3 linked regions of the Sus scrofa genome follow. The protein of the gene in region 3 interacts with the protein of the main gene of each other region in a pairwise test. Links are inferred from orthologs where the notes say so. Each region holds a gene or a part of one and is shown on either strand. Other genes may lie near its edges.

The links.
Region 1: the proteins of TRIM41 (region 3) and GPATCH2L interact in binary tests that used the Homo sapiens proteins (3 or more experiments, as listed by UniProt). The two-hybrid records come from large-scale screens. The link is inferred for Sus scrofa from reciprocal best matches to the Homo sapiens genes TRIM41 and GPATCH2L.
Region 2: the proteins of TRIM41 (region 3) and FRA10AC1 interact in binary tests that used the Homo sapiens proteins (3 or more experiments, as listed by UniProt). The two-hybrid records come from large-scale screens. The link is inferred for Sus scrofa from reciprocal best matches to the Homo sapiens genes TRIM41 and FRA10AC1.

What each region holds. Positions count from the first base shown.
Region 1 is NC_010449.5:99,346,037-99,349,687, forward strand, and holds part of GPATCH2L (G patch domain-containing protein 2-like), read left to right. Parts: intron 1-1,640; coding exon 1,641-1,708; intron 1,709-2,886; coding exon 2,887-2,926; exon of another isoform or gene 2,927-2,984; coding exon of another isoform or gene 2,985-3,039; intron 3,040-3,651.
Region 2 is NC_010456.5:105,167,505-105,171,255, forward strand, and holds the start of FRA10AC1 (protein FRA10AC1), read right to left. Parts: upstream 2,351-3,751; 5' UTR 2,198-2,350; exon of another isoform or gene 2,117-2,197; intron 1,993-2,116; 5' UTR 1,923-1,992; exon of another isoform or gene 1,886-1,922; coding exon of another isoform or gene 1,871-1,885; intron 1,479-1,870; exon of another isoform or gene 1,440-1,478; intron 1-1,439. UniProt on the Homo sapiens protein: May be involved in pre-mRNA splicing.
Region 3 is NC_010444.4:57,292,836-57,296,521, forward strand, and holds the start of TRIM41 (E3 ubiquitin-protein ligase TRIM41), read right to left. Parts: upstream 2,937-3,686; 5' UTR 2,155-2,936; coding exon 1,345-2,154; intron 1-1,344.

The sequences.
Region 1 (3,651 bases), on a different chromosome or scaffold from region 3:
CTTATTCTTAACAGGACAGCTAGCAGGGTAGGAGTATGTGTGGTGGAGGGAGGCAGGAGGCTGGGAGTGGGAAACAGAGTGACAGTTTGATTTTTTCTCTTTATTGGTTCGGCTTGACAGATGATGTTCTTTCTACCACCTACCTAACTTTGTCTCAGCTCCTATAAAATAAGAGCCTTCTACTTCCATGGAAGTAAATCATTTCATCCTGAAGTCTCCCTGTAGCTTGCCTGGAAGGAAAGTAGGGCCTATTGGATGTTTCTTTAATGATTTCAAATGAATAGGATAATATTTACTTGTTTAATTCATCTTCATCACCTTAAAGGGATATTTGTCATTTCTACCAGAGGTCACTGTTCTGCCTCCCTCTTCCTCTCCCTCCCCCATCTCTCTTCTCTTTTTCTAAATTATAATCATAAATAATGAGTTTCATTCACAGCTCCCTGCCAGCGAGCTGCTAATTACGCAAAGTACTGCTTGTAATTTACACAGTAATAAACTGTAAATTTAAACATTACGGCACTTTAAGTTAATAATTTTTCTGCTGTAACAAATAGCTCATTTTTCACCCATCTTTTCCCTTGGCCCGACTCCCATGGTCATGTCTGAGCCAGAGGCCTAGGTGTTCGGGATGAAGAGTATGAAGAATACAGTGTGTGAAACCATTTCATTTACAAAGTCTGACCTCAACTTAATTTTTCTATAGCTAGTTCTGCTAAAATGTGTATCCTAATATTTAGGCTAATCCATACACATAGATGAATACAGATAACAACATTTGCCCAGAAACAAATGTCTTTGAGTAACAGGCTTGCCATTTTTGACATTTATGCCCGTGACTTATGCTCTCATCTTAACACGCAGACGTGCGTAACGCTTGCTCATGTACTGTTGGTATGCTTCCCTAGGTTCTGTGATAGGTAGGCATTGTAAATGTACTCAAGTTAAATGAAGGGTGAGTGCCTTATGCCATTTTCCAGTTTTTTGGAGATGATTAGTTTCTGAACTATTTGTGGTCTTGTGGGCATAACTTCCTATTACAGTCTTGAGAACTGCAGATTTAAGAACCAGTCTATACAAACACCTATTTTTACTTTAAGAGATGATGTTTAACAGACAAAATAAAGGGTGACGATTTTTGTAAGTAACAAAAGTTCTTTGATATGTATACATTTAGTCAGTGGATACTTCAGTGTTACCAGTGAGTACTCAGTAGATGTCCCATTATGAAGGCTCTTGAAGCTGTAACCATATGACTAGGGAGCTTGGTGTGGTGGCCTGTTAAAAATTAAAAATTGGCTGCTGTTGAATTTTTTTTCAAGTGTTTCTATTTTGATATACCTTAAATACTCCAGGAAGTATTACTCACTATATTAAAATATTATATATAGTAAAAACATGTTTATAGTGACTTTTTTTTGAACACTAAAAAAAAATAAATCTAGAATAACATGCAGTAGTTTTACAGCAGGGTCCTACAAAAAGATACATAGTTTGCTGTTGGGTTTTAGGATTGAGATTTGACATGTGCCTTTGGGGTTGTTGGTATAATTATGGGAAAGTGTGAGCTTGACAACAGGTCATACTTACATATTTGTTTCTGTGGTTAGATGACACTCTTGTCTTCCTTGCCTCTTCAGGAGACCAGCATAAGTAATTTGGGTACTGAGAGGATAAGCCACCTCATTAGTGATCCTCGGCAGAAAGAGTAAGTGCTTATGTATTTACCGGCTATCAGAGCTTGTCCTTGGAGGAGGCAGCAGAGGGAAGTTTTATTTTAGAACCTGGAAATTTTCTTTTAGAGCTGAAAGAGAACCTCTTAAAGATTGATACTTTAAGACACTTAACATGGCTAACACCCAACATGGCTAACACCCTGAACTCATGAGAGATGTTTTTTCTTTCCAGGCTAGTTTTTATTTCTTTGCTTTTTATGTCTATAGGTGATACATTATAAAAGTAGCTTCCAATAGGATGTTATTTCTTAAACTAATTTTTCTATCTTTAAAAAAATTTTTTGTTCAAAATGGGTGATTGCCTCTATATTCTCCTATATGCCTTTCCCATTTTTAGACCTCTAGACAGAGAAATACCATTTCGTTCTAACTTCTGTGCTAAGTGCAATTGGAAAGCGTATGTGTAGTGATAGGAAAATCATGCCACCCTTTCTTGTGACAGCCTTGTCCCCTAACATAATTGGCTTTCTTTTGATGTCTCCTGTACATGTCATGGTCAGTGTCCAATTATGATCCTACACCCATCCAGCCTGGTTGAAGTTTATTTTTTTTTTAAGCTTTTTTGTTATTGTTGTTGCTTTTTAGGGCCACACCTGAGAGGCATATGGAAGTTCCCAGGCTAGGGGTCTCATCGGAGCTACAGCTGCTGGCCTACACCACAGCCACAGCAATGTGGGAATCTGAGCCGTGTCTGCGACCTATATGAAAGCTCGTGGCAACGCCAGATCCTTAACCCACGGAGGGAGGCCAGGGATTGAACCCGCATCCTCATGGATCCTAGTCAGGTTTGTTAACCGCTGAGCCAGAGGGAACTCTTGAAGTTTTAAATTATAAAATAGGCAAGACGTGAATGTTGTTTATGCCCTTGTTGAATTGGGAAGCCTGTCTTCACTGCACAGCTAGCTGAGAGTGCATTGGTGATAGACCATAATCTTGAGTTTATTTTTAGTGTCCAGTCTGCTGCATTCCATTCTTTTTCCTTTGAAGAGTTATTCTCTGGAGGAAAAAAGTTCATATACATTTAACATCACCTTTTCTCCTCTCCATTTTTTTCTCATTCTTTGTCTTCACTTTTTATCTTTTCCTCTCTATAATTTTCCTACCATGTCTTTTATTGTTTTCTTTCCCTTTATTCTCTCCCTCTCTTTAGTTTCTGGTTACCATCAACTGGGAAAAGAGAGCGAAATCAGGTAAGATTGCTTTTCTGTTTGTCATCTTTATTTTATCATTTGATTTCCTTTTCTTTAGAAAGAATAAAGCGTTGACTTCTGATTTTCCTCACATTTCTGCTTGTGCACATGAGGTAAGGTTCCCTTTCCTTAAATTATTCTGATTTTCTTGGAGGACTGTTTTCCAAGAATATCTTATATACATGGATAAGAACTGTAGCTAATTCCCCTTTTTAGGTTCAATGGCGACTTTCAGTTTATTACTTGTAACACATTCCATAGGAATCCAGTTTTTATTCTAATTTTGAATTTTGCAGTAAGAAATCAAAAGGAACCTTATCTGCTTATGGTTTAGTTCAGCATCAGCATAGAGTGCTAAGTACAATGTTGAATCCTAAACGTGAAATAGAAGGTAGAGCTGCTTCGGGTGAAGGGCAGTTGAGGCCTTAAAGCCTCTTACTCTTCTCCCTAGCTACCCCTGAGGGGGCCTTGGCATTTCTAATATCAAGGCCTTTATAGGGGTCATAATTTTAAAATTGCTAACAGTGGTTCTCAATATGTTCCTTTAATGTTTGAAGCTTTTGATTTTTGTTGGGTGAGGGCTTGCTTTATCTTTTTTTTTTTTTTTTTTTTTTTTTGTCTTTTTAGGGCCTCTTCTGCAGCATATGGAGGTTCCCAGGCTAGGGGTCGAATTGGAGCTGTAGCTGCCAGTCTACTCCAGGGCCACAGCAGTGTGGGTGGGATCC
Region 2 (3,751 bases), on a different chromosome or scaffold from region 3:
CCAATAACTTAGAAACTAAGTTGCCCATAGTTCAAAATTAAGTTCTCTTTAAAAGCCACAATAGGAATTCCCATCATGGCACAGTGGAAACGAATCTGACTAGGAACCATGAGGTTGTGGGTTCAATCAGAGCTATAGCTATAGCTCTGATTTGACCCCTAGCCTGGGAACTTCCATATGCCTCAGATAAGGCCCTAAAAAGCACCCCCCCCCCCAAAAAAAGCCACAATAGTGGTGGATATATCACTGTTCAGGGGCTATCTAGCCATCTAAACCTTTCGCTCACTTTGAAGTAACAGACTTACTCCTTCAGAGAATGAATTATGTTTTTCACCTTAATTACCACTAGGCCAACAAGTGAAAGAAACCATTCTTTGATCTTTCCATTGAAAATCAGGTCTAGAAGCTGGCATGTCACTGAAAACAAGGCTCAGCAATGCTTTTCCTGACTCAAGAGTAAAGACAGTTGCTGTGTATTTATCATCAACTTTGTTCCAGGCATCATGGTAGATTCTTTACAAAAACTGCTTCTAATTCTACAAGTTAGGAATTATTACCTCATTTCAGAGATGAAGAAATCAAATGACAAGCAATCGACTACACAAAATATAATTTCTCTGGGCAGGCTCCTTATGTTCTGGGAGCTTGTTTCCCCCTCTATAATTACATCAGGCCAATCTACTTGAATCTTAAGCTCAATGATCTCAACTACTACAAAATGCCTCTGGAACATGTTAACATTTTGATTACCATATTCCATTAGACTTATTGGATTTGTGAGTAGGACAATCAATTGACAAAGATTTTCCTATTCTCTTTCCATATGTGTAGAGATTTCCTTTTTCTTGTAAACCTAGTTTCTTCAAGGTAAGACACCTTGCCCTTTGTTCTAGACAACTTTAACTTGTTTCAATTCACTTTTAAATCAAAATTATTAGAAATACTGAAAGATCTCAATCGTCCCTGACTTGTGTTAGAAGCAGCACCTGCTTTCAGTATTACATTGAATTTGGGACACACATTAATGGGATTATTTGACTACTTGTCATAAATCCCTAATTCATATGACTACAAGGAACCAATCCTGGTCAAATGATAGATCAAACTTTTTAAACTCTAATATTCACTAGAGTAAGTACAGCATGAATAGGAAATAAACCCCTAAATTTCACTGCACTGGACCTAAGAGAAGAGATATGTTTCTAGTCTTAGCTACCTTGAATAAATTACTTCATTCTTTGGGCTTTATGTGCTAAATTAAACTATCCTTACATCCTATTGAGTCTGTGATCTTTATAATTCCATTTTCAACATGGAAATTTTTAAAAAGTATATGAGTGTGTATGTCTCCTCCCTGTCCCACAGAATTCTAGAAAGGCCCTAGCCAAAGTCAGAGGCGAAGGTTTAGGCCACAGTAATGACACACCTGGATCTCATACCTTTTGCCATGTCAACTTGCTTCAGCTGTTTCATCATACCTGTTAAAACCATAACATCCTCTCACGCCTTGTCCCACGTCTCCCACTTTCCTCACATCTTGATGGAAGACAACCATTGTGGGGAGCTTAGAAAGATGTTCTGGGATCAGCCTGCCAGAATGCAAATCTTGGCTCTGCACTTTTCAAGTATTCTTTAGGCATGCTCCTTAAGTTCTGGGAGCCTGTTTCCCCATCTATAAAGTGAGGCTAATAGAGTTCCACTTTCAGAGGCCGGCGCATTACTTGAGTTACCACATATAAAGGGTTTTAGAACAGTATCTGGTACAGTAAAACCCTGTCAAAGGTTAACTACTATTGCTATCATCAGCTTGTTCCCTCATCCTATGACACCACCTCCTACCCTTACTACCCCTGTCTTCCTTTTCGCTCACCTTTCCCATACCCATCTGAACTCAGTGGTTGCAATAAAAAGTTCTCACTCACTTCAGGCTACGAATCCACCTACAAGGGCCGAGAGAAATTCGAGAAGAGAGACGCCGGGTGTCTCCAGAATCTGCCATAAAAATACATTAAAAAATAAAAATTTTTTAAAAGAAAAGGAAAGAGAAAGATAATCAACTAGTAGCATAAGAGACACAACTTTCGCTGCCCTTCTTTCCGACTCCAAATACACTCACCGCCCTTCTCACACACCCCTTCCCCTCCTCCCAGCTCTGCCAAGTGGGCCCACAAAATCGTGGTTTGCAACAGCGACCCACAGTCTGAGCGAGCCGCTGCTGCACCAGCCTGGTCGCCGCTGCCACGCAGCCTCGCCACAAGCCGCCACCACAGTCACAGCTTGAGCGGCCGCTGCCGCCACCACCGGCTCTCTGCCTCTCCCTACGGGTCCCGACTGGGCGCTACTTCCGGTCTGGTTCGGCCACGCGTCTCACTTAAATGACACCGTTCTCAGGCGCGCCAACCTTGTGCTACAGAGATAACAGTCCCGGGAAACAAAAGCAGCGGAAGAACAGGACCGGGGGCAGGGGGAAGGCGGAGGCAGCATCCTTCCATTTCCATCTCAGGAGCACAGCATCTAATACCGTGTGGCACTGCTCACACTAAACCCACGCCCCTAGTTTGGAATTTTGTTTTGTTTTAGAAGAAACTCTGCCTGCATATCACCTGCCATCCTCTTTCTAGTAACCTTAGTAACGCCTCCTCCCTCAGCATCTCCATCTCTGATCTGCCTCTCCTCCCCCTTCTCCCAATAAACCAGTTCTCATAATTAGAACAAAAATAGCTTTCCATCGCTTCACCACCCACACAATAGATGCTATTCCAAATGCGGTGCTGGTGGCAGAGGAGCTCATCGAATATGTGAAGAAAGGAAGAAGACAGAAGAGCGGCGATTTCGCCGAGTCGCGAATTCTCTGCCCACAAATGACTTGGCACAGGTGAACAGGGATCCAAAATAGTTACTAAAGACAAAAAAGAAAGAAGGGGAAAAAAAAAAAAAAAAGGAAATGCAGGCAGGAAAAGTTTATTTTTAAGCTCCACCAGGTTCTCCTATGTTTTACGTTTTCTATTCTGCTTTGCAGCCTAGTTACTGGGGTCCTGTCTTGTCTCCCTCCAGCTGATGCTGTTTATCTTGGCTTCCTCCTCAGTACCCAACACGGTTCCTTGCAAACCATACGCACTAATTAAATGTTTGTTGAATTGAACAGGCGTGCCACTGACTTTCACAGCGGGCTTATTTTAGAGAAAACCTTGGCATGTAATCTACACATCATTTTACATCTTTTTCACTACTAGATATTGTAGATAACAATATCTCTCAGTTCAACGCACGTTTTTATCCCTGGCAGTAAAGTACAGCTATATCCTACTTTACCCAGTGCAGTGAATGCGATCTTAAAAATCTTTACGTTAAACTTAAATACAATTATTCCAAAATACAATCGGATTATATTTCAATAAAAACGTTTATTAAAATATTTAAAGTGGAGTTCCCTTGTGGTAAGTGGTGTAAGCATCCCCCTTTGTCGCTGCAGCAGCTCAGGTTGCTGCTGTGGTGTGGGTTCCATCCCCAGTCTGGGGAACTTCCACGTGCTGTGGGCGGGGCCAAAAAAATGAAAAGCATTAGGAAGCCTCATGATTTTACATTATACTGTATTAAATTATTTTGTCAAGCAGTTCCTTTTTTAGTAAATATCTAAAATATCTATTTAGCTCTTTTGTTTATTATTAAAGAACCAAACACACCTGTATCTGGTATTTAATTTACTTTCTGCTAGTATTTGAGCTTTAATAGCATTTTCCTACCATTCTTA
Region 3 (3,686 bases):
TTGCCATGAGCTGCGGTGTAGGTCACAGTGTTGCCTGTGTGGCTGTGACATAGGCCGGTGGCTACAGCTCTGATTAGACCCCTAGCCTGGGAACCTCCCCATATGCCATGGGAACAGCCCTAGATAAGGCAAAAAGACCAAAAAAAAAAGCTTTGTGAAGACCACACAGAAGAAGCTACCCTCTTCTCTTGGTCCCACTACTTCAAATTCATCTGGGCCTTTGCTAAATAATGTTATTTCTGCTGGCTGTGTCATGGACAAATCTCCTTTACCTGAGTCAGGATCAGAAGTCGGAGGCAAGGTATTAACTAAACTAGAATCAGACTCCAAGAAGAAAAGTCACATGTCAGTTAAGTCAAACAAACAGATATCCAAATGGTGGTGATACTGTTAACAGTACAGGCCAAAGGCAACGTGGGCAGGGCAGGGGGCTCATAACCAAGTCCATCACTTACTAGTAGCCGTGTGGCCCTCTGTGTATTACTTAAATCTCTCTGATTCTGTTTCCCAATCTGTAAAACGGGAATAGAAACCATATCAAACCACATAGAGTTGTTTGGAGTTTTCAGTGAGACAGTCCATGAAAAGTGCTTAGTACAGTGCCAGGATACATATAAAGTGTCCAGTAAATATTAACTTTTAATCCTGGAAAAATTAAAGTTCAAAGACATTGAGAGACCAAGAGCTGGTCTTCTGACTTAAAAGCCTCTCCTTTTTTTCCTGAATTCTTAGGAAAGATAAGAAGTCCTGGCCAGTACATCAGAATGATGTAGATCCAACAAAATTCCTCAAGGGGAGAACCAAGACATATTGTAGGATGGGTGGAGAATCCATTGCAACAGAAAGCAAATGCAAAAAAAAGAAAGGAAGTGTAGACCATTTGGGTTTGATACTAGCAGTCAATACTACACTCCTGCTCCTCAGGAGCTCAAGTTCCTTCCATTTCTAGGGGTCTTAGTCAAGGACAGATTTAAGACTCAGAGATAAATGAGACTGGTGGTAAAGCCCTTGGGGGTTGTCACTTGCACTCCTATACTTAGGAACAGTGGACATGTAAAACTGCAGTGGCTTTTCCTCCAGGACACAATGCCCAGTGATATGGCATCACCAGTTTTGTCCATTTTCCTTTGAGGAAACCAGTCTTCCCTGGTCTTCTCCACTGTGTCTACTTTGTGTAGGATCCTTCTCATTTAACCCATCTTGGTGCCAGTAAGTGCTTAGGTAAGGAGAATCAGCTAAGCAGTACATGAGGTTCTTTGAAGAGGGAAGACATATATTTTTTTTTCCCAGCCCCTCTTTCTTACTCTCCACCCCCATTAAACTCCCATCTTTTAGTTCTCTCACCTTGTACTCCTGTACCACCTCCTCCAATGGCACCACGCTGTGCTGTTTGTGGTTCCTGGATTCTCGGCACACCACACAGATGGCCTCTTCATCCACCTCGCAGAAGAGCTTCAGGGCTTCTTGGTGTTTGGGACAAATGCCCTGCTCGTTCCCACGGCTCCCTCGACCAGGGTTTGGGTGCATCTGCCGAATCACCTGGACCATGTTGGCCAGCTGCAGGTTGGGGCGGAAGCTCCGCCTAGGAAAGCTCTTGCGGCACTGGGGGCAGGTGAAGCACCTCCGAGGGGCTGGAGGCGGGGGCAGTGGGGTGACGGGATCTAGTTCCTCTTCTTCGTCCTCCTCCAGCACTTCCTCCTCGTCCTCCTCATCCTCCCCCCTCAGGTCCTCCTCCATGTCCCCCAAGTAATAGTCCAGGTCTTCCTCCTCGTCCTCCTCCTCCCACACGTAGTCCATGTTGTCCCAGTTCGACCCGCCCATGCCACTGGTCCAGAACACACCCTCCTCTTCCTCCTCAACCTCCTCTTCCATGTCGCCCTCATAGTCTTCATCCCGCATGGGGGTGTCCCACCCACCACCGGCCCCCACAGCCTCCACTTCCTCCTCCTCGCCGTCCTCCTCCTCTTCTTCCCGGTCTAACTCGTCCCTGTCCTCTTCATCCTCCCCTCCCCACAACTGGGTTACACACACTCGGCAGAAGTTGTGCCCGCAGCCGATGGACACGGGGTCCGTGAAGTAATCCAGGCAGATGGCGCACACCGCCTCCTCCTGAAGGGTCTGCACAGGGTTGGGTGCCATGGCAACGGCAGCCATCTTAGTGTCCAGTCAGCCAGTGTAGATGGGCGGTGGGGGGCGGAGGGGCGGGGGTCTTCCCTCTCAGATGCCCTGACGACCCGGCCCCACCCCCAGCCCTGCCTCTCCACACCTTGCTTCAAGCGCGGCCAGAGAAATGTCTTCCCGACAACCCACCCGTCCACACAGAGTTTCCTACTCCTAGACGACAACCGTGTCCCTGAGAGGGGAGGGGACAAAGCTGAGCGCTACCGCCAAGTCCCTCAGGTGGCACTGAGTGCAAATCTGCCTCAACGCTCCCTTGGCCTCCTCATAAACCCCCGCCCATCCTCACTTCCTGGCTCCGCCCCCACATTTCCGGCCTCCCTCTCAACACTTCCGGCGCTAAAAGCTACCCAAGCTCGCGAGTTCCCTCCGTAGTTGCGCTACGCCCCTTTCTTACCAACCCCTCCCACCCTATGCCCCCCCGGGGGGGGATGACAGGAAACGGTAAGGGGACGCTCTAGCAGGCACTCGGGAATAGGGCTGGAGGGCTACAAGGACCGAGGTCCACGCCTCTGTGATAAGAGGGAGAGAGGAACACAGACGAAACAGGCCTGGCCCCACCACCGGCTGCCACTGGGGATAAACTAGGGAGGAGGGTGGAAGGGCTTGGCACCCGTCCGCTATCGCAGCTATAACCGCATCGGCCCGGCGCCATCCTACCAACCAGACACGGAGAACTGCAGCAGGGAGTCCCCGCCTCCAATGCCGGAAGCGGAGGGGCGGGTATCGGTGAGCGCCATGAAGTACTTCCGGCCCTTCTAGGCGGCTGTCTCCGAGGACTCTGAGCGTCCCTCCGTGACGGACCAGGGGGCGGGGCCTGTAGAAGTGCGGTGGGGGTGGGGCCAGAGACCTTGCCCCTCCTCCCTACGGTAGTTGGCATTCCCACACTCATTTTAGAAATTTCCCTGGGTCACTTGTGCACTGCTCAGATGAATTTTCTTAATGGAATGGTAGCAAATCATGACATGCACATTCATACAGTGGAACACTTTAGATGTAAAAAGGGAATCCTCTTCAAAATGCATTCTGAAGTGAAAAAAAAACAGTGCTGAACAGTGTGTAGAGTACATCTGTTGGAAAAAAAAGGGAAGGGCTAGGATGTTAAATGTATGAGTTAGCTTTATAGTCTTGTGTTTACTCATAAAGAGCAGTGATTCCTACTTCAGAAGGTTTAGTGAAGTTAGAGTTAATGCCATGCAAAGCGTTTAGAATGTTGCCTGGCACAGTGTGAGATAAAAGGTTATTGTCGTCGTCTATCTCTAGATTACTAGAGAATTCTAATTTTTCTGGGAAGGCCGAGGGTCCAGGATAGAAGAGACACTTTCCCATATATGCCTTTTTGTATCTTTTGAATTTTGAAATGTCAATGTATTACCTTAAAGAAAAAAAAGGTTTTTTTCCAAGTGCAGTCGGTTCATTTACCGCTTTCTGAGCTGTGCACCATGTGTGCTCCAGGACCCAAATACCTCGAGGTCTGCCTTCCTGGAAACACAGGGACTCAAGTAGGG